4 linked regions of the Elephas maximus indicus genome follow. Each later gene encodes a partner of the first gene's protein in a complex. Links are inferred from orthologs where the notes say so. Each region holds a gene or a part of one and is shown on either strand. Other genes may lie near its edges. The genes, in order: SMARCA2, DPF1, SMARCD3 and ARID1B.

Region 1 (7,765 bases):
CCAACACTGCTCATCTGTTTACCAGAAATACTGAAGCAGTTTGACTCAAGTGAAGAGGTTTCCAAGGCCTCTTCGTTAGGCCTTAACTAAGTGTCCATCACTTCCCTTAAAACCATCTTGACCTGGAACAACGGGAATCAAAACTTCCGGTAGTAAATCAGGCCCTCTGGGTCCCCCTCAATTTGCCGGTGCTGAGAAATGCTCGTCAGCGTTATATTGGTGAGAATTTAGTCCTTCTCGTGGCAATGTGTCAAGATGTCATAAATAGTGATTTAAATTTCTCTGGAGTATCCAAAAGCTGCTGACCTAGGAGAGTTTGACAAACAAAGGCCTTGTTTACAAAGGAAGACTTGTAAAGGAAAAAAAAGAAAGAAACCAGCAAACACCAGAGGACAGCGCCACTTTTATAATTTATGAAACGCTTCTCTTTTATGGTTTTGTTACAACACCATAACAAGCCTTTAAAATGAAATGCCCAAACATCCCAGTAATCTGAGGGGTATCACGATACTCTCCTGGGGAAAAAAACGAGACATCCTTTTTTATATTGACCGGCAGAATGACTTATCTTAATCAAAGAAAAAACATCTACAATCATTATCTGCCACAGCAGTACTTTCTAGTTATAATATTTTAAGCAGAATTCAAGCATTCACAATATAATGCCAGCTGAGGCACTTTTTATTTTTTATTTTTTTGGCAATGCCAGGCCTCGGGTGTTGGTCAAAGCACTTTTCAAGAAACTTGACAAGAAATGCTCAAAAACCACTTTAAAAATGAACAAAAGAAAAGATCTAAGGCTGCTTTGAACGTAGTGTTGCGGTGAATATTTTCTGAGACACCACAGTGCAGCCAGTCCGGATGCTGGACGCAGCTGCTGAGAGGGGCAGCCACATGGAGGAAAGCTCTCCCTCTCCTGGGCCAGTTCTTCCAGGGTTCTCATACCCCAAACTCCTGGTTCATTTTAAAATGGTCTTTAGTAATATGGCATCTCTCCTTCATGCCTCCAACAAAGCAGACAGATCTCTAATGCACAGGGCATTTCTCAGTCTACTTCAATAAATATCTTTTGAATCTAAGAGATTATAGGGGAGCTAAAAAAAAAAGTCCAGGAGAATAAAAAGGCAATTAAACCAAAACCAAACCAAACCCAGTGCCATCGAGTCAATTCCAACTCATAGCGACCCTATAGGACAGACTAGAACTGCCCCATAGAATTTCCAAGGAGTGCCTGGCAGACTTGAACTGCTGACCCTTTGGTTAGCAGCCATAGCACTTAACCATTATGCCACCAGGGTTTCCAAAAAAGGCAATTAGATTCCTAAAAAATGTGTGTGTCAATTTGCATAACAGTGCACCAACTGGGATTCCAACCAGCCACACCTCTGAACATTTCACTAGAGTGCAAGACCTAGCCTGGAAGCCTTAGGAGTCCAGTGTTGGCCAACAAGCCTACAATACCCTCCCCGCAAAACAACTGATGGAAAATATTTCTGCAAACATGTGAATATGTATATAAATATGTTTGCACACATAACATTGGAGATGGCCTCTATTTTGGTAGTCCTTTCTGAGTCTTAGGTAGTTGGCCAAGAATTTTCTTCTACTCAACCGGCGAGCAACATCCGTTTTGTTTATACAAGCAAGGCACACAATCAGGTGTAAGAAAAAACTGCTTTGAAATGGAAGTTGAAAATTTAGCCCAGCAATTGGTAGCACACAGATGTTAAAAATAACCAGTCACTGCAATAAACCAGCAAACGTGTATCTTTCATTTCTTCACGTTGGATCTGACGTTACACCTCCAGTAAGTAGTCAGAAATACGTGTCTCCATAATGACCAGAGGGCAATGACATCGTTCCATGAAGCACTAACCCGGGCTGCTTGCTATTGCAAAAACCCCAACCTCCACCAGGCTAGGGAAGGGGGGAAAAAGGCGACAACCTGGCAAAACTCTCCCAAAAGTTATATAAACAAAGGAGAAGAGCAGCCCAGCGTGGGCTCCGCACCCATGTGCTACTAAAATTACATAACACACGGTGCAGACATTAACGATGGAATGGATTCTGCACAACACCCCCACTCCCTCGCCTCCCTCCTTCCCGGAAAAAAAAAAAAAAAATCCCCAAACGCCTGGCAAGGCCAACTTGACGGCTCTGAGCATTGATTTGAAGGCTGGAGTAAATCCTGCGAGAGTTTGAGGCGCATTTAGGCCCGAAGTTTTAACATGCAACAGCCCCAGGGAGCAGCGACTCGAACTCCTCCCCAGACTGAAGGAAGAGGGACTGACAGTGGTCGGCGAGGCCTGCTTCTCCCTCCCCGGAGCCTCCCGCTGGAAAGTTTTCCACGCCATCGATCGCAGCCCCGACAGCCCGTGTACCCCGCCGGCCTGACTCTGCAGGAAAGGCGAGCCAGCCCGGAGAGCTGAGGGGGCCGGCAGTGAAAGCGACGGAGAGCTCCGCGCGTAGCGGGCGGCGGCGGCTCAAGCTCCTTACCTAGCGGCACGGAACAAAAAGCGGCGCGGGGCTCTGGGCCGGCGGGGGCGACGCCTAGGTGGCCGGCGCGGGGGTCGGTGGCGAGCGCTAGGCCCGCGCCCGGGGCCCGGCCCCCGCCGCTTCCTCCCGGGCGCGCGTCATGTCACCGCGATCAAACATGTCTGTGCGCTTCGCCGCGGTGACTTCCTGATTCTCGCCGCCCGCGCGCGCACACACTCACACTCGCAGCCACGCGCACACGCCGGCCCCCGCCCGCCTCTCGGGCCTCCCCGGCTCGGAGCTGCCGCCCGCGCCGGCTCCCCGAGCCCTGCACACACTTACACTCTCGCGCGTACCCACCGGCCGCGGGGCTCGCGGCCCCTCCGCCCTGCGCCGCACTTGGCCGCCCTGCCAAACTTTTTTTTCCAGCCTGATCCACCGCCAAGTTCCCGGCGCCCCGCCCCACCCCGGCAGCCCGGCTAGCCGGGTGCTCACCACCAGCCGCCGCGCAAGGCCACCGGATCACCATCAGAAGGCGAGCCAGGCGGCGGGGGCGAGCGCGCAGACACTGGCAGTAGGCGATTTCCCCGCGCGCACCGGAAACCGGCCCCGAGTGCCCGGGCCAGGGCTCAGGGGTCCTCGGAGCCCGCACTGCTGCGCCCGCCCCGCGCAGGCAACCGCGTCCGGGCTGCGTGGCCCGGTGCAGTCCACCCCGGGCACCCGGCTTGGCGGGAGCCCTGCGGCCGGAGGTCCCCAAGGGGCGGGCGTGCCTGCCAGGTTTTTTGGGGAAGTGCATCGCGACACCTTTGCAGATGGCATGGCCGTGTTTTGCAAGGCCAACGAGAGGAGGGCAGGCAGCCAGGTGGCGAGGGAGAGCCGATGAAGGGGCATACTCGGTTGGGATGAGAATAAAGCAAACTCGAAAGCAGGGAGCGAGGAGGAAGGGGTGCGTGTCATCGTTGGGAGGAGGCACCCACCCGGTCTCCCCGCCTCCCGCCCTCGCCAACCCCCCCATCCTTCCCCTCGCAGCCCTTCCCCTTACCCGGCGAACGCCACCGCCGCTGCCCGGGTGCGCGCGGGTCCTGTTTGTGACAGTCAGGCAGAGAGGATTATCCGGATCATGGCCTCTCGGCCAGCAGCCGCTGTGGCTCTCCCGGGCCCCGCGTGCCCCCAGCACCTGGACGATCGCGGGCGCCCCACGCCCGCGCTCCCCGCGGCGCTGGCAAGGGGCTGACTTGAAGCACAAGAAAACAGACCCAGGGAGGGGGAGGGCAATGAAACCAAGCCCGGAGAGCACCTCCGACCTCCCTCTCCCGGCTTCTCCCTCCCTCCCTCCCTCCCAGGTTGCGGCCCGAGCCGGACACCTTGAACTTCAACACCCAAGCCCGCGCCGTCCCCAGGAACCGGGCGCAGGGACTGCCGCAGCGCCCGGGAGGCAGCTCCCCGCTAGCCCCCGTGCCCACAGGCCTGCCCGCCAGTCAGCGCCCCCATCCCCGCCCGAGGGAACTAGGAAAGTGGAGGTGACACTTCCGATCCGGCACGCACCGGCCCGGCGGCAGTGCCTGTCGCCTCCCAGGCGCGCCAGCTCCGGCTCTCCCGCCGCTATCCGCTCTCTCACGTCCCTGCAGCCCGAGCCCTTTAAACAAGTCCCCGGGAGCGGGTGGCAGCCGCGATCGCTGGCGCCCCGCCGCCCGCGAGCTCCTCGCCCTCCAGCGCCCCTTCCAACTCCTCCCGGGAGGACTGCTCGGGATGGATGGTCGCGTTTGCATCCTCCTCCCGTATCCTCCTGCCACCCTCCTTCTCTCCAGGTTTTTAAGGGGTTGGGGGCATTGCAACCTTGCCGAGTGTGTGTGTGTGTGTGTGTGCGTCTGTGTGTTGCAACCTTGACTTGGCAGCGCATCGCCACCTCCTCCCGAGGGTCAAGGCTGTGGTTTGGTGCTTGTTGTCTCTCCTTGCCCCCTTTCAGTCGTAGCGATCCCTGTTATTATTAGCAAGGCCAAGCTCGGTGGAAACTTTCCCGTTTCTTCCACGGCCGCTGGGAGCTGTTGTTAGCGCATTCCACCTGAGGCCCGCGGGGAGGAGGCGGGCTTTTTTTGTTGTTGTTGTGGCGCTCGGCCCGCCTGTTTGTTTTGGTCTCCGTGCATGCACAATAAATAATCATTAGGATCATAATGCATAATCCCCGGCGCAGGCGGCGGCCGCGGGTTTCCGCGGCGGCTGCGGCAGCTGGGAGGCCGAAGGGAGGGGACCGCGGAGAAAGGAGTTGTAAGTTATATTTACCTTGCTCGCGCGGAGTGTGCTGGCTGAATCCCTTCCCTCTCTGAGTCACCCAGAGTACAGAAACAGCGAGCGAGGACTCGATTATGAATATGACTTCATTGATGACAGCCGTCCCCTCCTCTTCCTAAACTCGAGCTCCGCCCCGCGTCCCACCCTCGCCGCCTCCGCGGGCGCCGGAAGACGCGCCGCTGTTGGCCCCGCGCGCCGTTCCTCCCTGCGCGCCCGGGCGCGGGTTGGCCGGGCGAGCCTGTCACTCGCGCAGCTCAGCGACTCCGGGCGAGCGGGGGGGGAGGAGGGGCGGTGTGCAAGAATGTGGCTCGAGACAGCTCGGCCGTATGCGTGGAACAGTGTGTGTCTGCAAGGCGCCGGCTCAGTGCCGCGCGTGTGCCTGGGGCACATCCACTGCGCAGGACGCACTCGGCCCCCAGCCTGCTGGAGTTGGGCTCCCGCGGTCCTTTCCCCGGAGGGCTTCCCCCCGGGACGCCGCGGGCTCCTCTGGGGAGGCTGGAGGAGAGAAGGAGGCGCCGCGAAAAGAAGGGCAGCTCAGTAATAGTGCGTAGTAGTTTGGACTATGTGGAGAAGGTGCTGGAATTTAACTGTGCCTCCGCCTGCCAGAGCCAGCCTGCAGAGAGAAAGGGAGGGGACGAGGGGGAGGGCTCCGGGTGGCACCAAAAGCTTGTTGGTGGCCCAGTGTTGACCAAGGGGGAAAAGGGGCATTGTGGTGCCGGGGGAAACTTTTTCTCTCCACCGCCCCCCCCCCCCCGCGCTGTAATTTTAAATCAGCTCCTTTTTCCCCCCTGTAAACAGGGAGGCGGGCACAAAGAACATTCCTGCCAAATTTGCTCTTCTCCAAAGAACTGCGAGCTTTCCAATGCCAGCGAGGGAGAAACAGCTGAGAGGCTGAACGCCTTATAAATAAATAAGCCCTCCTTAACCCGTAAGAGTCAGAATCAATTCAATGGCAATGGGTTTGGTTTCGGTTTGGAACCCCTCTGTTTACTCCGCGGACTCGTCACAGCCCTTTAACCTTCCCTCGCCTGTCATCTTCACCTAAAATATACACGAAAATATGGTAAACAACCCCGATTGCCCCGAGTGGGCTAGGGAGCAGTTGGAGAATGGAACCTGCGTTTGATTTAAGAAGGGAAATAAATCTCTTATTCTCTGCAAACCGCTGTGTCTTCTTCCCCACCTCACGATTAAGACTAATAACAGCTACACACAGTAAGCTGTTGGCCCTTTGCGATTTAGAGATCTCTTGTTCCAATTTTGCCTTGAAAAGCAGGACTTTGGTGGGACCAACAAGTCAATGTTTGCTGAGACCATTTCACTTTTAGCTTTATGAAGTGTGAAAGAATGTGAGGACATTTTAAATCGAGGGTCTATTATTTTAGACTCTGGTTAATGTAGATGCTTGACTCTCAAAATTACAACTGTTCCTATGTGGTAGTGTTGTGAAAAATATGATTTATCCCTTATTTTGTAATATAATGGCTTAAATTCATCATACAAAGTGCACTGTGATTCTTGGGTGAGGATTCTTCCCTCTGGAGTAAAACCCTATTTTAAAACCATTTTACTGTTGCAAAATTGACTGTGTTTGAGCAGTCAGGACTGAAATGCAGTTCTAGGATGCTCAAAATTATGGACTGGATAAGTCAAAGACAAGAGACAATGGTGAGAACTCCAAATGCTCCCTGTGGTCATTAAGTGGCCTGGATTGTTTACATAGCTGGGCCACTACTGGCTTAGGCCCAGTCTGCAAGGGCACCATTTTATGGTGGTGAGGAGTGTCAACTGTCACCCACTCTAGAGTTTTCCTAGGCCTTGTTACGTGCTTCTTAACTTTAGGTTCATAATTTTCTCTCTCCCAAAGCAAACCTCAAGACAACAAAAGGTAGCACATCTAAGAGAAAGGTATGCTGTGAGAACTGGTTTTTCTGCCTGAGGACATCCAGTATAACTATTAACAGGGAAATATGCAATGAGAAATCTTAAGCAAAGTTAGCAATGTAGTAAAAGTGTGGTAAAAATACTAACCAACTTCTGACTGCCTAATAAATTACAACTAATATAGAGATGAAGAATGCTGTCACCTTCAGAGTCAAAAAGAACATACCAAGATCTGTCCTGAAATACAGTGCTGTCAGTGATAGGATAATATCCCTACTCCCACAAGGAAGACCAGTTGATAAGACTATTGTTCAAATGTACTCACCAGCCACTAATGCCGAAGATGAAGAAATTGAAGTTTTTTTTACCAACCTCTGTAGTCTGAAATTGATCAAACATGCAATCAAGATGCATTGGTAATTACTGATTATTGGAATGTAAACTGTAGAAACAAAGAAGTAGGATCGGTAGTTGGGAAATATAGCTTTGATGATAGTAACCATGCGGGAGATCACATAGCAGAATTTTGCAAGACCAATGACTTACGCATTGGAAATACCTTTTGTCAACAACATAAAAGATGTCTATACACATGAACATTGCCCGATGGAATACACAGGAATCAAATCGACTATATCGGTGGGAAGAGAAGGTGGAGAAGCTCAATATCATCAGTCAGAACAAGGTCTGGGCCAATCATGGAACAAAACATCAATTGCTCATATGCAAGTTCCAGTTGAAGAGGAAGAAAATGAAAACAAGTCCATGAAAGCCAAAGTAGGACCTTGAGTATTTCCCATCTGAATTTAGAGACCATCTCAAGGAGAGATTTGATGCATTGAATACTAATGACCAAAGACCTGACGAGGTGTGGCATAACATCAAGGACTTCATCTATGAAGAAAGCAAAAGATCATTAAAAAGACAGGCAAGAAAGAAGAGATCAAAATGGGTATCTGAAGAGACTCTGAAACTTGTTTTGGAACAGAGTAGCAAAAGTGAAAGGAAGAAATGATGAAGTAAAAGAGCTGAACAGATTTCAAAGGGCTGCTCAAGAAGACAAAGTATTATAATGAAATGTGCAGAGACCTGGAGGTGGAAAGCCAAAAGGGAAGAA
Region 2 (7,532 bases), on another chromosome or scaffold:
AGAGGTTAACTCATTTGACCTCATAACAACCTTCTGGGGCCATACTATTAATGTCCCCATCTTCCAAATGAGAGAAGTTACAAACCTGTAATAACACAACCCTCAGTCCCTGGTGGCTGTTTGAAGGTGGGACTGAGAAAACGGTGCATTCATCCAGACACCCATCCTCACGTGGGCCTTACACCCTTCTGCCTCCCACTGTCACTCACAGAGATTCCACCCTGAGGAACTCCCAGAAAGTGAACTGACCCACCTGGTCACACACACGTGCCAAGCCTCTACACACACACACACACACACACACGCTCAAACGCACACCCACTGCCCGCCTGGTTCAGAGTTTGTGTCCAGGGAGCCGCTGCAGGGATGAAAAAGTGGTGGTCCTACATGCCCACGAACACACTCATCCCCCAGGGGGCACTCCTGCAGACAGGGGGAGGCACTCTAGCCTTCGCCTCTTTTGTAACCTGATGCCCCCTCCCACCATCACTTCTCCACACACACCCCTGCACCTCTCCTCTTAGATCCTTTCCACAAACTGCTCCTCCCTCCCACATAACCCCAATTGGGGTCTCTGCTCCACACCTAACCCAGAGTAGGTGACAAGGGAAGTAAGTGAGAGATGCTGGCACCCCACCTCCACACTCACTCAGGCCTCCAGGCCCCTCTAGTGGCTACCCCAGATACCTTCTCCACAGTGAGCCCTGCCCCCTCAGAGGGAGCCCTTGCCACCACCTTCCTCTCTCACCTCTCACCCCCTGCACAGATCACCAGCATGCCCTCTCACGCTGGCTCCCCCACACCTCCAATCTCAGACACCCAGCTCACCCTCACCTCACATGAGAAACCTTGCATCAGTTTGAGTCAGGGGAGCCTGCGCACGTAGACACCCATCACCTCTCCAGAGGTGCACCAACAGGATCTGAACCTACAGAGCCAGGCTGCCACTTGGAAAGACGTCTCCCCTTCCATACCCTAAGTCACCTCCAAAGACCCCTCCCACGTGCTCTCCTACACACTTGAACACCACAGTCCCTCCCCTGTCCAAAAACAGTCCTCCCCTCCCCAACCCTCTGTGTCCTGTATGGGAGCTGGACGCAATAGAAACCAGTATTGATATCACCCCTAATAATCATACACTTAGCTGGGGTCAGGTGCTATACTGAGTGCTCATAAATACCACCTTATTTAAGCCTCACAGCAGCCCCATGAGTTAAAAAGAACTATAAAACCAAAAAGAAAAAACCGGTTGCCTTTGAGTGGATTCCAACTCATAATGACTCTATAGGTCAGAGTAGAACTGTCCCACAGGTTTTCCAAGGAGTGGCTGGTGAATTCAAACTGCCAACTTTTGGTCGGCAGCCAAACACTTAACCACTGCGCCACCAGGGCTCCAAAAGAACTATTATGCGCCCCAATTCACGGATGGTAAAACTGAGGCTGGAGGCGGGGAGGGCATTAATGGCTCAAGCTGGGGTTTGAACTCCCGAGGGCTTCGCTCTCCAGCCCCCTGCTCCCAAGGAGATTTGACTCTCATATTGTTTCAGGAGAGAGTCCCTACCCTCACCCGTGCAGACCCCTGGGAAGGGGAGAGCGGAGAGGGATGCTGGCACGCCCGCCTCACACACTCTGGCCACCAGGCACCCGCAGAAGCCAGGATGCCTGTAATCCACCACCAGGCACGGGAACCCTGTTCCCAACTAGTGTAAGGGTGTCCCTCGTAGGAGAGGCATCTGCCTGTGTGTGCAGGTGTGGGTGGAAAGGAAGCACACACCATAGCACACTGACCCCGGCCCCATACACCCCCTTCAAGCCCTCTTGGCCCTCACCAAGCCACACTTGACGGCTTGTGCCTATAAGCTCCCACCCCCTACGCACCCTCCACTCCCAACTTCCCCCTGCCAGAAGCGACTGGGAGCCCTTTGATCCAGCCACCACGCGCCACCCTTCTCGGGGTCACTCCCTCTCCTCTCCTCCCGCCCCCCGCCCCGCCCCCGCCCACTGCACTCATTGCTCAAGGTCAAGGAGGCGAGCGCGGGGTTGGGGGAAGGGTGGGGGAGGTCGTCCCGGCCCCTTTGTGCGGCGCCGCGGGAGCTCGCCCCCCGCCTCCTCCCAGGCCGAGGAGGGGGAGGGGAGTGCTGCGCCCGCCTGCCAGAGAGGGAGGACGGGAGCGGCCGCGCCTGTCACTCCGAGCCCGCTGTCACCGCCTGGGGAAGGGGCGCGGGTAGGGGGGAATGCCGGGACCCGGGAGTCCGGGATCCCGAAGAGGGAAGAGGAGAGGCGGAGAGAGCGAGCAATGGCAAGGAGGGGTAGGGACGAGAGGGAGCTAGGCGCGGACCCAGGCGTCCGGCTCCACGGCGTTGGGCACAGGAGAAACCTAACGCTGCAAGCAGTGACGCGGGCAGGGAGGAAGGGAAGGGATCCCCGGAGGGCGAGGGCGCTCCCAGCACCCCCTCCGGAGGCTCCCTTTAGATGTGTATGGGCGAGGAGGGGAAGGGATCCTCCGGTCTAAGCTGACCTTAGTGTCGGGGCTTCTTGGTCCTGGGCCAGGCCTAAGACCCGGAGAGGAAAAGGGGGATGCAGCGGGGATCTAACCGGGGACCCCCGAAGCCTCAGCCCCCACCCTGCAGCCGCTTGAGCCCGGGACCCGGGAGAAGGAGGGAGGAAAGAGAGAAAGGCGCCTTGATGAGGGGAAAGAGAACGGTGGAGACCCCGGAGACCGAGGTCGGGACCCAAGCCGGGGGGCCCCAGACAGATGGTGGAGGAGGGGGAAGCCCCTAACTCCCTGGGTGGGGAAACTCGGCCTCCGCCCCCCGCCCCCAGCCCGCGCCACATTCCTTCACTGACAGCGACAAAGAAGAGGCGCCCCCGCGGCCCCGAAGGGGCTCCCGCCCGTAACTCAGGGGGCGACAGGGGGCGCCGGGCCCCCAGGGGCAGGGGACGTGCTGGGGGGGCCTCGAACCGCGGTCTGCGCGCTGCGACCCCTCCCCAGCGAGGGTGGGGGAAGAGCTCCTGGGAGGGTTCCGGGCGGGGGCGGGGGTGGCTGCGGGGACTCACGACTTGAGCGGGTTCTGAATGGCGGTGGCCATGGCCCGCTCGGCGGGGCCGCCTCCGGCCCGGGGCGCCGCTCCCGCCGCGCGCGGGCCCAGCCCGGCCTGCGCCGCCGGCTCCGCCGCCCAGCGCGCTACGATTTCATTCATTCTTGGGGCTGCGGCGCGAGCCGAGCGGGGCGGGACGGGGGCGGGGCTCGGCCAATCCCCGCGCCTCCAGGCGCACGACGGGACGTGGAGTCCAGGGGCGCGCAACGGCGCCCGAGGGCGCCCGTGCCCGGACTACACGTCCCAGGGGGCGCCGGGAGGACTGCGCGCCCATTGGCTGCTGGGGATACAGGGCGGGGCGGGGCTCGCCCCCCAGAGGCTCAGTCCCCCTCCCTGGGGATGCTCCATCCCCGACTCGCGCTCCCCATCCTCCAGGCATCTCGGGCGCTGGCGCAGGTGGTCCTCCACTTCTGGGCCTCCCCAAGTCTGTGGGTGACCCGAGTCTGTCGTGTATTTTTGTCTGTATCTGCTGGTCCAGGTGCCTCTTCTGTGTAAGCCAGCTGTCGTCAAGCACAGGGGTTAGTTGATGTCTTCGTTCGTTCATTCAGTGATGTCAGACTCTTGTATGCGCTGGGGATACAGCAGTGACCAAAGCGGACAAAGTCGCTGCCCTCAAGCAGCTGACATTCTACTGAAGAAAGACAGATAATAAACAAGAAAAGAAATAGATAAGATCATTTGAGAGAGAGAGAGTGCTATAAACAAAACAGGTTGATTTGAGCAGAAGGTGGCCTCTGTGAGGAGGTGGCATTTGAGCTGAAACCTGAGAAGGTGCAAGCCCCCCCGGCTGAAAATAGCATCCCCTATAACTCTGTCCCTTTTAACTACTTTACTTTTCTTCCAAGCACTTATCATAGCCTGTCATCATATCATACATCTGTTTGGTTACTTGGTTTGTTGTCTGCCTCTGTTCATTAGAAGGAAACCCTACTGGCACAGTGGTTAAGACCTATGGCTGCTAACCAAAAAGTCGGCAGTTCAAATCCACCAGGTGCTCCTTGGAAACCCTAAGGGGCAGTTCTCTCTCCTGTAGGGTTGCTATGAGTTGAAATTGACTCGACGCCAATGGGTTTGTTTTGGTTGGTTTTCTTCATTAGAATGTCACCTCTATGTTATTCCATCTGCTACTGCCTCCCCAGTGCCTAGAGCAGGGCCTGACAAATAGTAGGTGCTATTTTTTTAAATGGGGTCCCTCGGTGGCACAAACGGTTGAGCACTTGGCTACTGACTGCAGTTTGGTGGTTCGAACTGGTCCTACCCCATCTGGAGCAAGAGAGAATGAAGAAAGCCAAAGACACAAGGAAAAGATCAGCCCAGAGGACTAACGGACCACAACATGCCCAGGCGCAGGGGACCATCAAATGCAAAGACCCTGAAGTGGGAGCAAGGTTGGCACATTCTAAGATCAGCAAGGCTAGTGTGGCTGAAGCAGAGTGAGCGAAGGGGTAGACAAGGTTGGGGAGAGAGAAAGGACCCAGATCATGTAGGGCCTCGTAGGCCATTATACAGAGAATGGATTTTGCTCTAAGTGCAATCCATCATCCGGACTTTTCTCTTTTGGAAGTCCATCAGCAAATCCTGTCATCTCTATGTTCATAAAATGGATCCAGAGTCCACCCACCCCTCTCCACTTCCTAACCCCCATCCTGGTCCTTTCCACATTGTCTTCCGCCTGTACTATCACAGCGGCTCCATCGTCGGTTTCTGGCCCTGCTCCCGGTCTGTTCTTCCCATGGCAGCCAAAGCAGGCTACCTAAAACACACATCACAGCACGCCACTCTCCAGCTCAAAACCTCCAACGGCCTCTTTCACAATTAGAATAAAATGCAGTGTCCTCACGGTGCCCTCAAGGGCCTTCTCAATCCCCCCGAACCTCCATCACATTTCTGACCTCATTTCCCTCCTTCTTCCCTTGACTAACTTTGCTCTGGCCACACTGGCCTCCTCCCTGTTCCTGGAATAGTCCAGGCCTGCTTCAGCCACAAGGCCTTTGCATTGCCTAGAAAGCTCCTTCCCCAGGTACCTGCATAGCTCCATCACTCACTTCATTCAGGTCTCTACTTAAATATCACCTCCTCAAAGGCTACACCAGCTAACATTGCATCCCCTACAGCTCTGCCCCTTTAGCTACTTTACTTTTCTTCCAAGCACTTATCATAGCCCATCATCATGTCCTGTATCTATTTGGTTACTTGGTTTATTGTCTGTCTTCATTTATTAGAATATCAGCTGTGTGAGGGTGGGGATGTTGTCCCATCCACTGCTGTCTCCACATTGACTAGAACAGGGCCTGACGGATAGTAGGTGCTGTTTTTTAAATGGGGTCCCTCGGTGGTACAAACGGTTAAGCACTGGGCTACTAACTGCAAAGTTTGGTGGTTCTAACTTGTCCCACCCCGTCTGGAGCAAGAGAGGATGAAAAAAACCTAAGACACAAGGGAAAGATTACTCCAAAGGACTAATGGACCACAGCTAGCACAGCCTCCACCAGCCCGAGTCCAGCACCAGAGAGTACCCAGCTAAAACCACCAACTGCTCTGACAGGGATCACAATAGAGGGTCAGAGCCGGAGAAAAATGTAGACCAAAATTCTAACTCACAAAAAAAGGCCAGACTTACTGGTCCGAAAGAGACTGGAAAAACCCCAAGAGTACGGCTCCCAGACACTCTTTTAACTCAGCACTGAAGTCACTCCTGAGGTTCACCCTTCAGCCAAAGATTAGAGACGCCCATAAAACAAACGATAATACACAGAGCTCAACCATGTACACAAGACTAAGTGGGCACACCAGCCCAGGGGCAAGGACGAGAAGGCAGGAGGGGACGGGAAAGCTGGACAAATGGAAATGGGGAACCTAAAGTCGAGAAGGAGAGAGTGTTGACATATCTCGGGGCTGGCAACCAATGCACAAAATAATACGTCCATTAACTCTTTAATGAGAAACTAATTTGCTCTGTAAACCTTCATCTAAAACACAGTAAAGAAAAGAAGAAAAAAGTTTGATGGTTCGAATCTACCCAGAGGCACTGAGAAGAAAGGCCCAGCCGTCCACTCCTGAAAGATCACAGTCGCTGAAAACCCTGTGGAGCACAGTTCTGCCCTGACACAAGTGCGGTTGCTACGAGTTAGAATCGACTTGACTGCAACTGGTTGTTGTTGTTGTTTTCTTTAGTATTTGTTGAATAAATAAATGAAACCAATTACTCATTATGCCCAGTGTCCAGCCCTGAGGCGTGCAACTGGTGAGGGGTGAGAGCAAGGTGACCCAGGCTGTGCGCTCCCATGCATGGAGACCTGGACAACGGAAGCAGGGGAACTCTATCAAGGAATCCTGCCCAGCAGAGGGCCTGGAGCTGAAGCTCAAAGGGGAAGGTTAAGCACACTCACTAATTTCTGGAGTGCTATGGACCACAGATCCACAGCCATAGCGATCCTAGAGGACTGGTGGATTTGAACTGCCGACCTTTTGGTTAGCAGCCATATCACTTAACCACTGTGCCACCAGGGCTCTAGGGTTGCCATGGTCAGAACAGACCTGACAACTGGCTGGTTTTTTTTTTTTTTTTTGGTTTATGGACCACAGCCCTGTGTGATCATGCTAGGGACACCCCCTGATGGAGACAACCCCAGGTTCTGTCCTGAGGTCACAATCTAGTGGGGCAACAGACCCATCAGCAGACAACAACAGCCCAGAGGGGTCAGGGTTGGGATGAGGGAGGCACAGGCAGAGGGATCAGGCCTGGCGTGGGGGAAATAAAAGGGGATGTGGGAGTCCAGAGAAGGCACCTGACCTAACCTGGGGGTCACGGAGGGCTTCCTAGAGGAGGGGACGGCTGAACTGTTTGTGAATCCTTTAGCATTCTAAATCTCTGACCTCACAGGGCAGGGTTCCTGTCCCGACCTCTTCGGGTCCTGATCCCTAATCTTGTTACTCAGCCTTGGAGGCCAACGCTGATCCTGGAAGTCCCAGTCTTTGGGCCTTCTCCCAAACCCTGAGACCAAGGATGTGGCCACCAGAGGGCACTGTGGCTCTAGTCTTTGTGCCCCAGAGGCTGCTCCAGAATTCTCAGACTGGAATCCTGAGAGCCTGAGAGACATGGCAGGCTTGGGGTCGGTCCCCGGTGGAGACACTAAGCCCCACATTGGGCCTCAGACCCTGCCCGGAACCTGGTCACCACGGTCTAACCTCCCTGTGGACCCAGAATCACTGGGAGACCCTCTGCTCCAGACTCCTTGGGGCCCAGCTGGAACCTCAGAGAGGGGCAGTGTTGCTAACACCCACCGCATCTCGCTTCTCCCCACACAGACTCAGAGAATACAGCCCCCCCAAGCTCCCCTTCGGATGTTCAGCCATAGCCTTCAGACGCCTCCTGCCCAGATGGGAATGGGGAGGTCCAGAAGGGCGAAGGCTGGGCGGTGGGGCTCACAATAC
Region 3 (7,405 bases), on another chromosome or scaffold:
CCCTGGTGGGGCATCCGGGCTCCGGACGGCATCCCGGGGCGCTGGGGGCGGAGGTAGAGCAGAAACAGGCGCCGCGTGAGGCCAGGCCCCTCCCCGAGACCCCCGTGGGCGACCCGATCCCGCGGGCGGCAGAGGGGCAGGGGCGCCCGGACGCGCGCAGCTTGGGAGGAGGTGGCTTTGCGTCTCGCTGCAGGAAGCTAACTGGAGTCAGGCAGAGACACAGGGCGCCCGTGCCCCGAGATGCGAGATGCAGGAGGGACCACAAAAATGAATATGAATGGCGCCTTTCAACCTTTTTAAAGCATATTTTCACATCCACAGGCTCCTCTGTGAGGCAGACGGAGCACGGGCTTTCTTCCCCACTTGACAGATGAGGCAACTGGGGCTCAAGGAGAAAAGCGACCTAGCCAAGGTCACGAAGCTCATCCCGGTAGAGGCGAACAGACCCCTGTTTTCTGAGGGGGCTGGGGCTTCTGCTGTTGCTGTGGCTGCTCTGACTGCTGCCGCCCCTTCCTAGCACTCCTCCCCACCCTCACTCGCTGGCTATTTGGCCTTGCACTCACCTCTCCTCATCTCGACCCCCCATCTCTCTGCGGCCCCTGCTCAATCCCACTCCCTTGGGACTGACTCCCAGTCCCCATACTCAGGTACCAGTTAGCTTCACTAACTTAACCCACCCCCATAATTTGCTCCCAGGGTGAAGACTGAAGGCAGAGCAGGAGCTGACCTTGTCTCTGCGAAGCCTGGGCTCAGGTCAGACCTGCCAGGATGCTGTGATTGGGAGGGGAGGGGTCAGAGGACTAGAGAAGGGGCTGCCAGTGGGCCTGGGGTAGGTCTTACATCCATCCCTCTCTTGCTGTCCGCTGAGATCAACAGGGAAGGTCCCATCCTTATGGACCTCCTCTACCTTTCAAGCCTACCCAGTGAGGTCAGAAGTCAGGGTGCACAGTGGGGGTGGGGTGGGGGGCACATGGAGAAGGAGATGAGGTCAGCAATCCCTGGGTGGTCAGATAGAATGTAAATGAGATGCAAATGCATCAAGTGCAGTGTTCCATGGGCTTGTCAGCCCCAATTGTCCAGATTCCAGAAGAGGGGCTAGGGAGGGCCAGAGGGAGTTTCAGGGGCCAAAATGTAAAGGGTGGGTGGAATGCGGACGGGTAAAGAGAGCAAGGAAGGGGACCAGGAAGCAGGAATGCAGAGGCTCCCCGTCCTCATCATTTGAGCACTACCGCTTCACCCAGAGGACTACAGCTGCCACTAAACGCGAGGAGACGCCCTGACCCTGGGCTTGTGCCCCCTTCAACTGCCAGCTGTCCCTCCTGTCCCGTCAAGCCTAGCCCTAACCTCCCATCCCAGCCAGCCAGCTGTCTCTGCCCATCTCTCCCATGGTGAAACCTGCCTGTGCATGTGTCTGCCTCCCCTGTCCCACCTGACCCTGTCACTCACACCTCCAGGGTGGCAGCAGGCCAGTTCCCCAGCATAGATTGGTCCCTGGGAGTTGGGGTAGGCTGTGGGGGCTCAGAGGCACCCCAAAACTGAAGCTTTAAGGTGGTCATATAAGAAATTCACATATATTACCTCTCCCCTCCTTGAGGGACCTTTTTAAAGGGACTCCCACCCCCAAGCAGCAAGGTTTGTACTGTTAACTTGGCTGGCTGACACCCTCTCTCAGGAAGTTACCCCCAGAGATCCCGGGGCTGGAGGACAGACTGCCCCAGGGAAGCACCTCCTCTCTATCAGTTGTTCTCCCCATTCATCAAGGCCAGGTACTCAGTGATGTGCTGATGAGGCCCGAGATGGAGGCTTCGAGGCTTCCAGAATCCCCAGAGACGGTTCCAGCCAGCAGGCCACCTCCACAAAAGGCCAAGATTCTAGGGACTCTGGCCTCCTTCACTGACAAAATGCCTTCCTTGGGGTCACAGACAAATTCAGCCATAGTAAACCTGTCTGCTTCCTGTACACCCAACTTCCAACCCCTCCCCCTGCCACCCATGCTGGAGCCCCTACCATCTCCCTAGTCATCCCCTCCCATTCTCACAGCCCTCTTCACACCCAGCCTGGCCCCTGCTGACTCAGCTCAGCCTCCTGGTTGCCCTGGGCTCCCTATATGCCTTGGCTGCCTCCCTGTGACAGCATCCTGCTGCTCCGTCCCCCTGATCTTTAGGCCTTCCTTCACACCTTTGAGGCTTGGAAAACATCCACTTCTGCAAGGAGTCCCTCAGGCCCCTTAATAGGGGTCTGCCCCTAGAAAGGGCCTCTAGCTGACCCTGATGAAAGAGACCCCCAGTAAAGCCCCATAACCCTCTGCCAGGATGCGGATGCGGAGGGCATTCATAGCAGTTTCTTGCCACAGTGCTCCAGGGTCACCTGCTCCTTGTTCCCAAGATACAGTGAGAGACACTGTCCCAACGATGAATAGACAGCCCAGCTCAGTCAATGCCATAGCCCCCACCCCGCCCCCAGGGCAGGGGAAAAACCTGGGTCCGCACGGATAAGAAGGGAAGACACCGTGTCTGATACTCAAGGGGCCCCCTACTTGGGACACTCCCCAAGTCCCACCTCCAGCCCCTGACAAGATCCCAGGCAAACGCCTCTCCCTTTCCCGCCTGCGCGCCCATCCCCGGCTGGCCGGCCGGCCGGCCGCCTGCCTGCCGACGTGTTCACGTGCCAGGGCGCGGGCACAGGCCGGGATTGGGCTGGGGGCGAGAGCGCGGGCCGCCTTGGCCCCTCCCGGCCATCCCTCCATTCAGCCCGCGCCAGCTCACGCACCCTCCCCCGCTAACTTTCCCCCACTCACCACCCCATGGACTAGAAACTCAAAAAGTTTGCTTTTCGTGGCTTTGCGCGCCCCTCCGGTAACTTCGTCCGCGGCCATCGGGGTGGGCTCCGCGGCGGAGCTCACTCACTCTCTCTTCCTCTTTCTTTCCCCTTTCTGCCTTTTTTCCTCCAACTCTCCCTCCGAGTCCTGCTGGGCGCTCACACTTCTACTCGAGCCGGGCGGGGAGGGCCCCTTCAGGGCTGCCCTGACGGCCCACGGCCACGCCGCCCGTGCGCCGCCGCCGCTGCCGCATTCCTGCGCCGATAAGACAGAAATAGTCCGGGCGCCCGCGCGCTGTTTACTCGGCCGCCCGAGAGCCGGCCTGCAGCCCTCGCCGTGCAAACAGCGCGCAGATAAGCGAGAGGCGCGGAGCCGACTGCGGCCGGTCTGCGAGGCGGCGGGCGGGGCGGCCCCGCGGGCTCTCTCCGCGGCAAGTGGCCCTCTCAGGGAGGGACTTCGCCGGCAGAGCCAGGCAGGGAACAGCCCGTTCCAACTTTCCCCCCAGTGGCTCCTTCTGCATTTCTGAAGCCCTTTCCCCAGAGACCTGGCAGGCCAGTGCGGGAACATTCACTGGCAAGGACTGGGGGGATGGGTGGGGGGGACTGCGCCTGGAGGAGGCCTGTCCTCCTGCATCGGGCGAGGGGCAGTGCGGTGCCTGCCAAGGCGGCGGTCTCGTGTCCACGGATGTGTGTGCCCTTGTCTCGCACAGCGTGTGCTTATCCCCTCTGTGGGCAAGGCGCTGTGGCTATTTAGGTGTGTGTACAGACAAATGCCTTTTCTATGTGTCTCCCTCCATGAAAGCCTCTGGTGTGTGAGTGTGTGCGTGTGTGTGCGTGTGTGTGTGTGTGGCATGACACCGGCCCTGCCTTTCAGCTCTGTGTGAGTCTATTTCTGGGTATGTGAGTCTTTGTCGCTATGTGAGAAAGTGAGGGCAATAGGGGAAGTATCTGGGAAAGAGGGACAGGGATGGAGCTCATGAGAACAGGAAGAGAAAATGCGAGGGAAGGCTGGGAGCCGGGGTGGGTGGAAAGAATGAGGCAAGCATCACTCTGGCCTGGCTGTGGGGTATGGGTGTGGACCTGGAGGAGCTGGGACAGCTGGAGATGGTGGGGCCACCTTCAAGACCCGAGAAAACAGGGGCTGCGGCTATGAGGGAACCCCAGAAGGGGTGGTGTGGGGGTGGAGAAGGGACAGGAAACAGGAGAGGCAAACCGTAGCTCCCCAGGCTGGAGCCCGGCCCCGCCCATGCTCCCAAAGGCCACACCTCTCTCTCATCCTCTCCGTGGGGTTTTGAGGCAAGCTTTGGATCAACCTGACAGCTTCGTGGGGCTGTGCCGTCCAGATCCAGGTGAGGGCGGGGCAGTGCCTGGGGGAGTTTGTTGGAAAACTGCTTAGCAGTTCTCCTCTGAAGACCTGTTACTACACCAAAGGGGCTCCTGACCCTCAACCCTCCACCATACCTTCCACACACGGAACAAAGAGAACAGGGCAGTGTGCTGCCCAGGTCTTTGCTGCCTGAAGCCTGACTTACCCTGGACCCTGGCTTTGCTCCCTGCTGCCTCTGTCCATCTATGAGCCCCCACCAATGCCCCAGAGGGCCAGAGAGGGTATCCGGATCCAGGGTGCCCCTCCTCTACCCCTGGCTTGGCAGGGGACCTAGAGACCCCCTTCTTACCAAATCTCCTCCAGACCCACATACAGAGAGAATGGGCCCTGGTGGGGGGCCTCCATTGGCCACAGGCCATGGAAGTGGCTGCTGGTAACCTGGGGGGCACACTGCCAAAGCTCCGGTCTACCCACTACTCTCCAAATGTCCACCCTGATTCCCTTTCTAAGCCTCTGCTCTCCCATGCTTTTGCCTGGAATGCCCTCCACCTCCCCTTGGTCCACATCACACCCATCCTTTAAAGCTGGCTCAGGCCATAGCTCCTCCAGGAAGCCTTCCCAGATCCCGCTTGTTCACATGGATCTCTCTTTTCTCTGAAGGCCTGTTGTCCATCCACACTGCCCCGTGCATTGGCACTGGGGTGACGAATGATGTGCCCTGTACTTCATGTGTGTTAGGTTTGGTGTTACTGAATAGGCTGCCGCTCCCTGAAGTCGGACTGGTCTGTAAGTCCCACTCTTACCCCCATGCCTGGGCACAGGGACTCGATAATACAAATGCTGCCTGATGACATTTGCGAGCACTCAAAACTCTGTGGACCAGTGGATGGAGTTCACATTGGCCACCGCCAGCCCCTGTGGGTGCTTCTAGCATGAACATGCTAAATCAACTGGCCTTGGAGGTTTGGTGGAATGGGAGGGTAGACACGTCTAGGCTTTGCGCAAAGCTCAGAGCTCTCAGCTCCTCTTTAGAGAGGAAGAAGTCAGCACAAGAGGTGGGACAGACACTCCAGCTTGGGCAGTTGGGAGCTGAGGGAGAAGCATGAGGAGGGTGGGAGCACCCCACGTTTGTGATGGGGTTGGGAGACTCCGAGATCAAGTCTTGAGGATGGGCGGTAATTAACTGATCTTGGCGGTGGAGGGGGTTGTGGGAGGTGGTTGAACCAAGGGCTGTGATGACAGTGGGGAGATGCTGGGGAGTGTCACTCAAGTTCACAGGTACAAGCCCCCCCTCCCAGTGTCAGGATCAGGCCTTCTCCTGCAGCCTCTACTGGTTTTGCTCCGCTGGGAAACGTCCTTATTCGCGCACAGATACACAATGCCTGCCCCTCTCCGCTTCCCATGCACACACACAGTAATGCAGATGCAGGCGGACAGGAAGGAGCACAGGGGTTTACACACATGGGCACACCCTGACCACTTCCACCTCACACTCACAGAGGCCCGAATTCACGAAGCACGCGCCAGCAGACTTGTGTGCATGCTGCTTTTACTTGGGCGACCATGGTTGTGCGGACACGGGCAGCCTTCAGACCAAAAAGCTGAGGCGGAGAGAGCAGGGGCCAGCTCCCCAAGAGCCTGGCCCAGAAGGACGCTCCAGCGTAGCCTGCTGCAGGCTTCGGCTGACCAGGAAAGCCCAGATCCCACGGGCGGCCCGTCCCCCAGTCTAAATGGCAGCACTCTGGGCGGCAGGGTGCCGGGTGTCCGGCAGAGGCGCCTGGCTCGGCCGGCCGACGTCGCGCCGGCCGGAGCCGGAGTCCCCCCTGCCGTCCCCCCATCTCCCCTTCCCTCGCTGAGCACCGCCGGCACCAAATGGCAACGCGCCTCTCTCCACGCAGGAGATGCGGCCGTGGCCTGCCGGGACGGGATGGCGCGCCCCCGCCGCCGCCGCCGCCACCGCCGCCGCCGCCGCGGCGGGCAGGGCGCGGGCTCCTCCGCCCGGGCGCGGACCCCGGGCGGGCAGCGGCGCCGGCCGGGCATGCGCGCCGGCCTCGCGGTGAAGGTCAGCCCGGGGCCTAGCGGCAGGACTCCGCGGCGGCACGGGCGGAGGGGGAGGGATGCGGGCACTTAACTCCTTCCCTTCGGAAGACGGCCACCAAGGCCTTGGCGGGCCGGTCCCCCCGTCCCCAGCTTCTGTGGAAGTCCCGATGCGGGGACGCAGGCCAGGGCAAGGGGAAGGGCGGGAGGAGGGCGCAAGGGGCCGGCTGGAAGGGGAGAAGGCAGGCTGGAAGGAGAGGAGGGGAAGAAGGAACAAAGGAAATGGAGACTGAAGGGGAAAGGACTGCTTCGGAGAGACCTGTCACTACCGTCCCTTCCCCTAAAACCAAAAAACCAAACCCAGTGCCATCGAGTGGATTCCGACTCTAGCGACCCTAGACCCCAGCAAAATAGCATGCCCACGGAATGGAATTACCCTCACAGATCCTGGCGTGCATGCTTGTGAGTTGGGGTGTTGGGGGGGGTGTGTGTGTGAAAGAGAGAGAAAGAAAGAGAGACTCTTCAAGCTCTGGGGCTAACAGACCCTTTCCATTTCTGTGTTGAGAACCTCTAGGCCCTGGCCCCCAGTTTCCCCTCCAGTCTCTAAACCCCGGTACATGCCAGTGACCTGCCTGGTCTAAGTCCCAGGCCCTAGGCCCAAGGCACCCTGGCTAGACCTTGGAGCCCTGCCCAGCCCCCAGAGATGAATAAAGGGGCATCAGGTCATATGCCTCCCCTCTGGCTACTCCCCTGCTCTCCCAGAGCCCTTCCATGTGAGAACGTTCTGGGCTGGGACTCCTGCTGCTGCTATTAGGGCTGTCTGTCTCGGTGTGACTTTGCCTTTCTGTGTCAGTTTTGCAAACACATGCAGCAACAAAGAAAAGGGAGGACACCAGGATAGCTGTGTGGCCTTGGGTGAGTCGCTGTATCTCCCTGTCCCTCAACTTTCTCAGGGTCAGAGGATTCTGAGGGCCCTTTCTACTCTGAAATCCAATTATTCCATCAGACAGAGACAGGAACCAAGTCAGATGGAGGGGAGGGGGAGAGAAGGAAAGCCAGACACCAGAGAGACACAAAGAAACAGGTACAAAGACACCCACGGACAGAGGGACAGGCACAGAGCAGGCAGTGGTTCTGCTCTTGCTATCAGCACCACCCTCTCTGTGAAGGCCTCAGGGACGCCTCTTCCCAGCCTTCTCCCCCATGCATCCCTCTGTGGCTGCT
Region 4 (7,545 bases), on another chromosome or scaffold:
GAATCCCATAAAAGCTTTCTGAATCCAAAAATTGGTTAAAAATTCCTGGTTTCCTTATGTTTCAATTAACATATCCTCACCCTACAATTAAAGTCCGTGATCTATGCAATGTTCATACTGAAAGGTTGTCATCAAAGAACTTAATTTTGCAAATGCTCAACGCTAGACACCAGCATAATGTTTTTATATACTTAATCTTCTTATTAATAACTCCGACTCATAATAAATGAAGCTTTAAATCATATTCAACCTTACATCTGCTTGCAATAGAGCTGGGTTATTATTTGTGGCAAGGATTTTTGTGACTGTACTGCCGAGCACGTCTATTTACATCAGCAGCGCTAAATGCCCAATGGTGAGAGGGGAGCCAATCAGATGGCGGATTAGATGTCAACTCCGAGGCAGCTGTCTGGAGACTCTTACAGCCAGTTTACCTCCACAATTCAAATTCCAAACCTCGCAAAGGAGATCGAGTCAGTCTTTAGGCTCAGCCTACCAGCAAGAAACAGCCAGAGTGCAGGACACTTCCCAATAACGTCGTGGGGCTGGGGTGACAGCGGAACACAGAAAATCCAAATAAATACGACCCAAATAGCTCACTGCCACGGGTCTGGCATGTTACTGGATTTGCCTAATAAAAGGTTTGCAGGATCCTCGACCAAAACAAGTTCGATTTATTCGGAATGTGGTCCTTGAACACAGCCTCTGTGAAGGTGACTCCTTTCGGGCTGCCCCTGAGCCGAAAGATGGATCTCACTGGCTGTCCTTAGGAAGGAATCGATATATTTTAGAGTATTTTGCCTCCACGCAGTTGCACGTTTCGGTATTATTTTCGCTCCTCAACGTTCAGGCCGGCAGGCCGCACCGAACATCCGCGAGTGCTCTAGTTACAGGCGGTTCTCCACAACCAGGAGCCGCACACTCGGCTGGTCAGGAAGCTAGCTCACCTCCCCTGCCGTTCCACGCGACGTGGTTGGAGGTGGAGAAAGTTCTCCGTCCTTCTAGTTAAAGCGCAGCGCTAGCGCTAACCAGGGAATCCGGTCCCCGTTCCCCTCGGACCCACTGGCGAGGGGAAGGCTGCCCCACCAAAGCGCCCGAGCCGGCCCCGCCGCCCCAACTGCCTCCCCGCGGCCGAGCGCAGGCCTGGGGGCTGGGGCGGGGTGCGCCGCCTCCATGGTGCCGCCGGCCCGCCCGCGCGTCCCCGCCGAGCGCCGGACCGCGAGGCGGACATTGTGCGCGCCCCGGCCTCCCGGGCGAGGCGGCCGCGAGCGAAATGGCTCCGGAATCTCGCCCCCACCTCCCCCCGAGAGGAGACGGAAAAAAAGTAAACCCGAAAGAAAGAAACTAGGGCCGCGAGCGCGCGAGGCCGCCGGGCGGAAGCAGGCCCGGCCGGCGCGTTACCTGGGGTCGGCCCATGGGCTGTCCGGGGTGGCCGGGGCTCATCGCCGGGTGGCTCCTTTGTTGCGCGGCCGCCCAGGCCGGGCTGGCGGCGGCGTACTGGGCGCCCAGGTCCTTGCCCAAGCCCATGCCCGCGGCCGCCTGCTGGCCTCCCGCCGCCGCCGCCCCCGCCGCCGCCGCCGCCTGGGACTGGGGCTGCGACGGCGGCGGCGGCGGCGGCGGCGCGCTGGGGCTGCTGTAGTCGGGGTAGCTGCCGCCGTAGCTCCTCATCATGGGGCTGGGCGAGGTGAGCAGCTGGTTAAGGGTCGGGGTGGCCCCCGACGGGTGCTGGTTCTGCCCGGCGAAGCGCTGGAAGCCCCCCGCCGCCGCGCCGGCGGCCGCCTTGCTGAGGCTCGCGGCCCCGCCGCCCCCGGGGCCCATCATCATGCCGCCGCCCTGCTGCCGGGGGGAGCTCAGCGCCCCGTACCCCGCGGCCGAGCCCCCATAGCCGCCGCCGCTGCCGCCGCCTCCTGCTGCTGCTGCCGCCGCCGCCGCGGCCGCCGCCGCCACAGCTCCCGCTCCCGCTCCTCCTCCTCCTCCTCCTCCTCCTCCGCTGCCTCCTCCTCCTCCGCCGCCGCCGCCGCCGCCTCCCGCGCTGGGCCGGCTGTAGCCCGGATAATGGTTGTACTGGCTGTTAGGGTACCCTTCGTGCGAGTTCTGCAGGGGCTCCATGCTGCTGGGGGCCCCGGCGGCGGCTGAGGCAGAGCGCATCATGCCCATCCCGGGGCTTTGTTGTCCGCCATGTTGATCAAAGCAAGGCCCAGCGCGGCCGCCGGGGCCGCCGCTGGCAGGGGCAGCGCTGCCGTAGTAATTATTAAACTCCGGGACGGCCGCCGGGCCGCCGCCGCCGGCGCCCCCGGGCACGGCGCCGCCGGACACGGCGCCCCCGGGCACGGCGCCCCCGGACACGGCGCTCGGCGGCGGCGGCTGCGCGCCCAGGGCGCCCAGGCCCGGGTGCTCGTAGCGGCCGCCCGCCGGCTCCCCCATCTTGGGCGGTGCGTCGTCCTCGTCGCCCGGCTTGCTCAGCAGAGGCTGGCCCGGGGCTTCGGCCTGGCTGCCCACGACACTGTCCTTGCCGCCGCCGCCGCCTCCATGTTGCGGCTGCTCCATGTCGGGACCCGGCTGAGCCGCGCCGCCGCCGCCCGCGCCGTGGTGGCCGCCGCCGCCGAGGCTGTTGTTGTTGGAAATGGGATGTTGCTGCTGCTGCTGCTGCTGCTGCTGGAACTGGTTTAGCTGCTGCTGGAGTGCGTGGTGGTGGTGGAGGTGGTGGGCATGGTGGTGGTGGTGGTGGTGGGCATGGTGATGGTGGTGGTGCTGCTGGTGGGGCGGTGCAGCGGGGGCCTCGCCAACGGCTTTCAGTTTGTGGTTGGGGAGCAGCCCCGTCTCCATGGCCGAGCCCGGGACCGAGGCGGAGGAAGAGGAGGACGCCGCCGCCGCCGCCGCCGCCGAGGAGGAGGAGGACAGCGCGGCGGCGCTTGCACTCTCCTTGAGAGCCGCCTCGGAGCCGCCGCTCTTGGCGTTACTGCCGGCGGCGGCGGCGGCGCTCGCGCTGTGGGCCATGTTCAGTTCATTATGGGGGTGCAGGGGGTGGTGGTGCACATTATTCAGGCCGCCGCCGTCGCCGCCCCCCAGCATGGGCCCGGGCGCCGCCGCGCCGCGCGCGCCCGCCTCCGGGTCCCGGGCCCCGAGCGCCGCCGGCCGCGGCCCGGGGGGCGCCCGCCGCTCGCTGCTGCCCGCCCGCGCCCGAGCCGCCGCCGCCGCCCGCGCGGCCATGATCGCCGGCGAGGCGCGCGAGGCTGGCGGCGGGGCGGGGGGACCCGACTTCAGGCCGCGGCCCCTCCTGCGCGCATCCCACGCCCGCGCCGACTCCGGCGAGCCCCCCCGGCCGGGCGCCTTACGAGCAGCGGGTCGAGCCTCACGGTCTGGGCCTGTTCCTGCTGTGGGCTCTCATGGTGAAAGTTTTGAGTTCAGGTTTAAATGAAACTTTTCTCCTTTCCTCCCTAACCCGGATATGGGTACACACACGGCTGCCGGAGCCTATCGGGCCCAGCATGGCACGCGAGGGAGCCGCGCGAGCCCGAGCAACTATTATCCACTTCTGATTACTCCGCGCACTCGCAAAACGCGGACTGGACTCAGCCAGCGCCGCCGCCGCCACCAGCCGCCCGCCGGGCGCACGTCGCCGGGCACCGGGCTGGCCGGCCGGGCCGAGGGCGGCTGCACGCTCCCCGGGCCTCGGTCTCCTTGCCAACCGGGCGTTCGCCGGTTTGTTTTCCCATCGAGAAGGCACGGTACAAAGGTGGAAAACGAGTCTGACGAGCAGACAAAAGAGAGAAAAGGGCTCGGGAACAAAGTTGTCTGTCGAACTCAAAGGTTATGAAGAACCGACGGAAAAAAGAAAAATATTTGGGTAATCTGTGCAAAAGCACTGTGTCTTCCAGTAGTTGTGTCATTTTTCAGAATCTTAGCCCCTCTGATTTGATTTTGGTCCCTCCACGTAGTTCCCACAACTTTTTCAAACGGCAAAATGAGGAAACGTTTCCGGTGAATTCCAGGAGCGCTGTGCCCTGTACACAGCAGGTACTCAATAAATGCTTTCCTTGTGCTGTACCTGCCCCAAAGATACTGTTGATATAACTAGTTTTCAAGGCACCTCGCATTTGCCTCTAGGCTTATCAATGAAAATTGCTCCACAAGTGTATGTCCTCTGTTTAAAGGGAAAAAGCCTCAAAGACGTCGAGTGGTATGTTATGCTCCAAACAACTTTCCGACGAAAGCTTAACTCCTAGTGCCGTCGTAGTAACAGCTAATGTTTAGCTCATGTCTTCATAAATCCGTGTGGCACCTTTCGTCATGTTTCACAGGTTAATGTAAACAACCTTCCTGATAGGAGCTCATTGTTGAGTAATGGGAAACAAAACGAAAATAAATACTAGACATTGTCTTTAATAAATATAAATATAAGATCAGTAATATAAAATGGTCCCATCAAATCCTAAAGTAGAAACCTTTCATATTTTGTTCTTTAAAAAATATCTATTATCACTTCACAATGTTTTAAATGTTTTGCCGATTTATCACTGTACTAGTTTAGATATCTTTGACAGCAGGACCTCTTAACCCAAGCAGTGGTTACCTTTTACTGGTGTGCACTCTGTTTTCATCAAGAGAAAGCATTTGAAACCAGAGCTTTCAAGAGGTCAAGCTGGCTGAAATAATCTGTATGATTTTGGTAGAATGTAGTTTTGCGAAATCATTTCATTCTCCAACTTTTGTCAGAAGTAGGTTAGTTTGTTTCAACTGCCCTGGTTATTTTTGTTTGCCTCACCAAGTGTAAGTAAATATGTTACATGCCTAAAAAAAAGGGATAGACTGGAAAAAACTGGGGGCTAATTGTGGGTGGGAGGGGGAGATCAGGTGCACACCCAAGGGTCATTATCCAGCATGGAAACGACAAATTGCAATTCTCCGCAAACAGCTGGAAAACCAGGGTCACATCATCATGTGTAAGAGAGGATAACAGAACTGTAAGATGAATTCATGCCAAACCATTCATCAGTTTTGCCAGGAGACTACTACATCTTTGTTAGTGTGCCTTTTTGACATTTTCTCCTGGATTTTCTCCTTTTATACATTCAAATACATACTAATTATACACATAAGTTGAATTTTGAAAGTTTTTCATATGCAAATATAACTGCATGTCTGTTTTGTGTTTGTGTGTATATTCCTATAAAGTCAGTTACATATTTATGCTTTTAGACATTCATCATCAAACTGAATATATACACATAATCATAAAATTGCATTTCTTCCAATTGATAAAATATATCAAAGTCAATTCATATTTTGTGGCTTGTTTTCACAACTGATCTTAAAAGGGAAAATGAGTCAACAAGTTCAGCTTTGACCCTTTTCATGAAAAAATTTTTTTATGTACAAAAATAATGAAAAAAAATTTAGGTATGTAAGTCGGTAAGTGTCTTTTCATTCCATTTGCTCCAGCAAGTCAACTAGAAGACTGGAACCAAGAGGCTCTGAAACAGAGGCCCTCAGCACAATGAACTCAGTCTGCTATAAAAGGCAGCGCATGCCAGCTTTTCCTCCCCAGTGGCAGATGCCACGCCCTGAAGCAGACAGAAGGCACTGCAGCCTGGAAGAGAAGCACAACACAAAGCCAGCAGGACTGGGTTTTGTCTTTGAAACCACAGAAAAATGTTCCAATACCTCTTTTTTAGCATCTTTGCTGAAGATAAGTAGTGGCCTTATATTTTACTCAACTGACACTTTTCAAACACCTTTCCAGGAAGACAAAATAAAAGCCTCTTACAGTTTCATTAATAAAAATAAAAACAGGGCTTAAGAAACAAAACAGCGCTTGTCAGGGGTCTGCTATCAAGTAATGAAATACTTTCAGATCTCACAAAAGCACACTTTCAGCTAGTGATGAGCATTCGTATTGTGTCACTTGCCTCAATTATCCTATATGACAACTCTACATTATTGTTTCTTTTGGAAGGAGCCCTGGTGGTGCAGTGGTTAAGTGCTCAGCTATTAACCGAAAGGTCGGCAGCTGGAACCCACCAGCTGTCCCTTGGGAGAAAGATGTGGCGTTCCGCTTCTGTAAAGATTTACAGCCTTGGAAACCCTATGGGGCAGTTCTACTCAGTCCTATATTGTCGTTAGGAGTCGGAACTGACTCGAAGGCAATGGCTTTGGTTTTGGTTTGTTTGGGTTTCTTTGGGAAGAAATAAGGTACTAGCAATCACTGAGTTCATTTTTCCCAGTGAATTTCTTATTTTTACACCTCTTGCCTAAATTTCAAACCATAATGACAACTTTAATAAGTTACTCTAACCACAAAGACCCGCGGTGGTACAGGCCCAAAAGCTGCCGAGTGGCCAGGCCTCGCCTCCAGCAACCTCCCAACCACAGATTGCTCCCCACGCCTTCGTGTTTAGCCTGAGGATTACCCATTATTTTGCTAAACATTCCTTCTTGGTTACAAAAAGGGTTTTTTATTATATGGAAATATTAATATTCAAATAACTGCTCCTTGTGAATAAGTTTTGGGGCAATGAATAAAAGACACTTCAGCGTGGCCACTTAAAGAGGATTGAGCCAGATGGTAGTTTAAGAATTCCACAATTCCATTCTTTTTACCTCTTCGTTGCCCATCCTACGCTGTTTGCTTTCAGATTAGCCCCCTTTTACTGTTCGACTTATTTCTTCGGTGACTGAAACTATCACGACTCACTACCCATCATATTTCTCAGTATTCTTTGCATAATTTGGAAGCAATTTAGAATAAAGCCCTGTCAAGATTTACAAATAAGAACTATTAAAGAATAAGGCTTTGGATACTTGCTTCCCTTTTAGATTTATGAGACATGCAATGAATGGAGCTGATGGGATTTCCCTACTGATCTTGGTCACGGACTTAAAAAAGTACTAAACAATTGTCCCTTTCACTTCCCCGATTTAGACATTAGCAGTGAATAACACTGAGTAATTGCAAGATATGGGATATAGCCTTTGATTTGGAACAACGATGCAAATTAACAGGGGCCCATAAATTCAGTATGCAAAGCAATTGTAGCATTTGAGAAAAGTCTAGGCAAAAAATAATTTTAACAAATTTGGGAACCAGGAAAACCAGTTGCATCATTATATTTACTAAGAATATGATAATGAGGACGGTAAACTTGGATGGGGATAAACTAGCACTTACTCATTCAACAAATTTCTTTAGAATCTGCTTTGTCATGCCCTGAAAATAAAAAGATAAACATTACCTGGTTCCTGTCTTGAAGGGCGTCAGAGTCTAATAAAGGAGACAAACAATTAACAATTGCACTAAAATATACTAAGGGCTGCCCTTGAACCTCATGGAGGATTTGGCCAATTTAGAGCAAGCTCAGACTTCCCCATAGGTCAGCAATCCCTGTAACTGAGCCTTGCTGTTGACTGCCATCAGCCTAATCTGACTGCATCTGGCACATCCCAGACTTGATGCCAGGAACCCACCACTGGATCCTGATGAGGCTAGTCAGCACCAGCAATTGGGCCAATTCCAAGTATATTCAGAGTATTACCAAGTGTTGGATG

Evidence for each region.
Region 2: SMARCA2 (region 1) and DPF1 share a complex: the UniProt entries of both Homo sapiens proteins name them as parts of the neuron-specific chromatin remodeling complex. The link is inferred for Elephas maximus indicus from reciprocal best matches to the Homo sapiens genes SMARCA2 and DPF1.
Region 3: SMARCA2 (region 1) and SMARCD3 share a complex: the UniProt entries of both Homo sapiens proteins name them as parts of the BAF complex. The link is inferred for Elephas maximus indicus from reciprocal best matches to the Homo sapiens genes SMARCA2 and SMARCD3.
Region 4: SMARCA2 (region 1) and ARID1B share a complex: the UniProt entries of both Homo sapiens proteins name them as parts of the neuron-specific chromatin remodeling complex. The link is inferred for Elephas maximus indicus from reciprocal best matches to the Homo sapiens genes SMARCA2 and ARID1B.

The regions. Positions count from the first base shown.
Region 1 is NC_064827.1:8,528,120-8,535,884, forward strand, and holds the start of SMARCA2 (probable global transcription activator SNF2L2), read right to left. Parts: upstream 3,217-7,765; 5' UTR 3,005-3,216; coding exon 2,836-3,004; exon of another isoform or gene 2,818-2,835; intron 2,783-2,817; exon of another isoform or gene 2,497-2,782; intron 1-2,496. UniProt on the Homo sapiens protein: ATPase involved in transcriptional activation and repression of select genes by chromatin remodeling (alteration of DNA-nucleosome topology).
Region 2 is NC_064829.1:113,379,247-113,386,778, reverse strand, and holds the start of DPF1 (zinc finger protein neuro-d4), read right to left. Parts: upstream 3,090-7,532; coding exon 3,058-3,089; intron 1-3,057. UniProt on the Homo sapiens protein: May have an important role in developing neurons by participating in regulation of cell survival, possibly as a neurospecific transcription factor. Belongs to the neuron-specific chromatin remodeling complex (nBAF complex).
Region 3 is NC_064838.1:11,925,304-11,932,708, reverse strand, and holds the start of SMARCD3 (SWI/SNF-related matrix-associated actin-dependent regulator of chromatin subfamily D member 3), read right to left. Parts: upstream 3,332-7,405; 5' UTR 2,876-3,331; coding exon 2,798-2,875; intron 42-2,797; coding exon 1-41. UniProt on the Homo sapiens protein: Involved in transcriptional activation and repression of select genes by chromatin remodeling (alteration of DNA-nucleosome topology).
Region 4 is NC_064819.1:228,892,244-228,899,788, reverse strand, and holds the start of ARID1B (AT-rich interactive domain-containing protein 1B), read right to left. Parts: upstream 3,099-7,545; 5' UTR 3,073-3,098; coding exon 1,402-3,072; intron 1-1,401. UniProt on the Homo sapiens protein: Involved in transcriptional activation and repression of select genes by chromatin remodeling (alteration of DNA-nucleosome topology).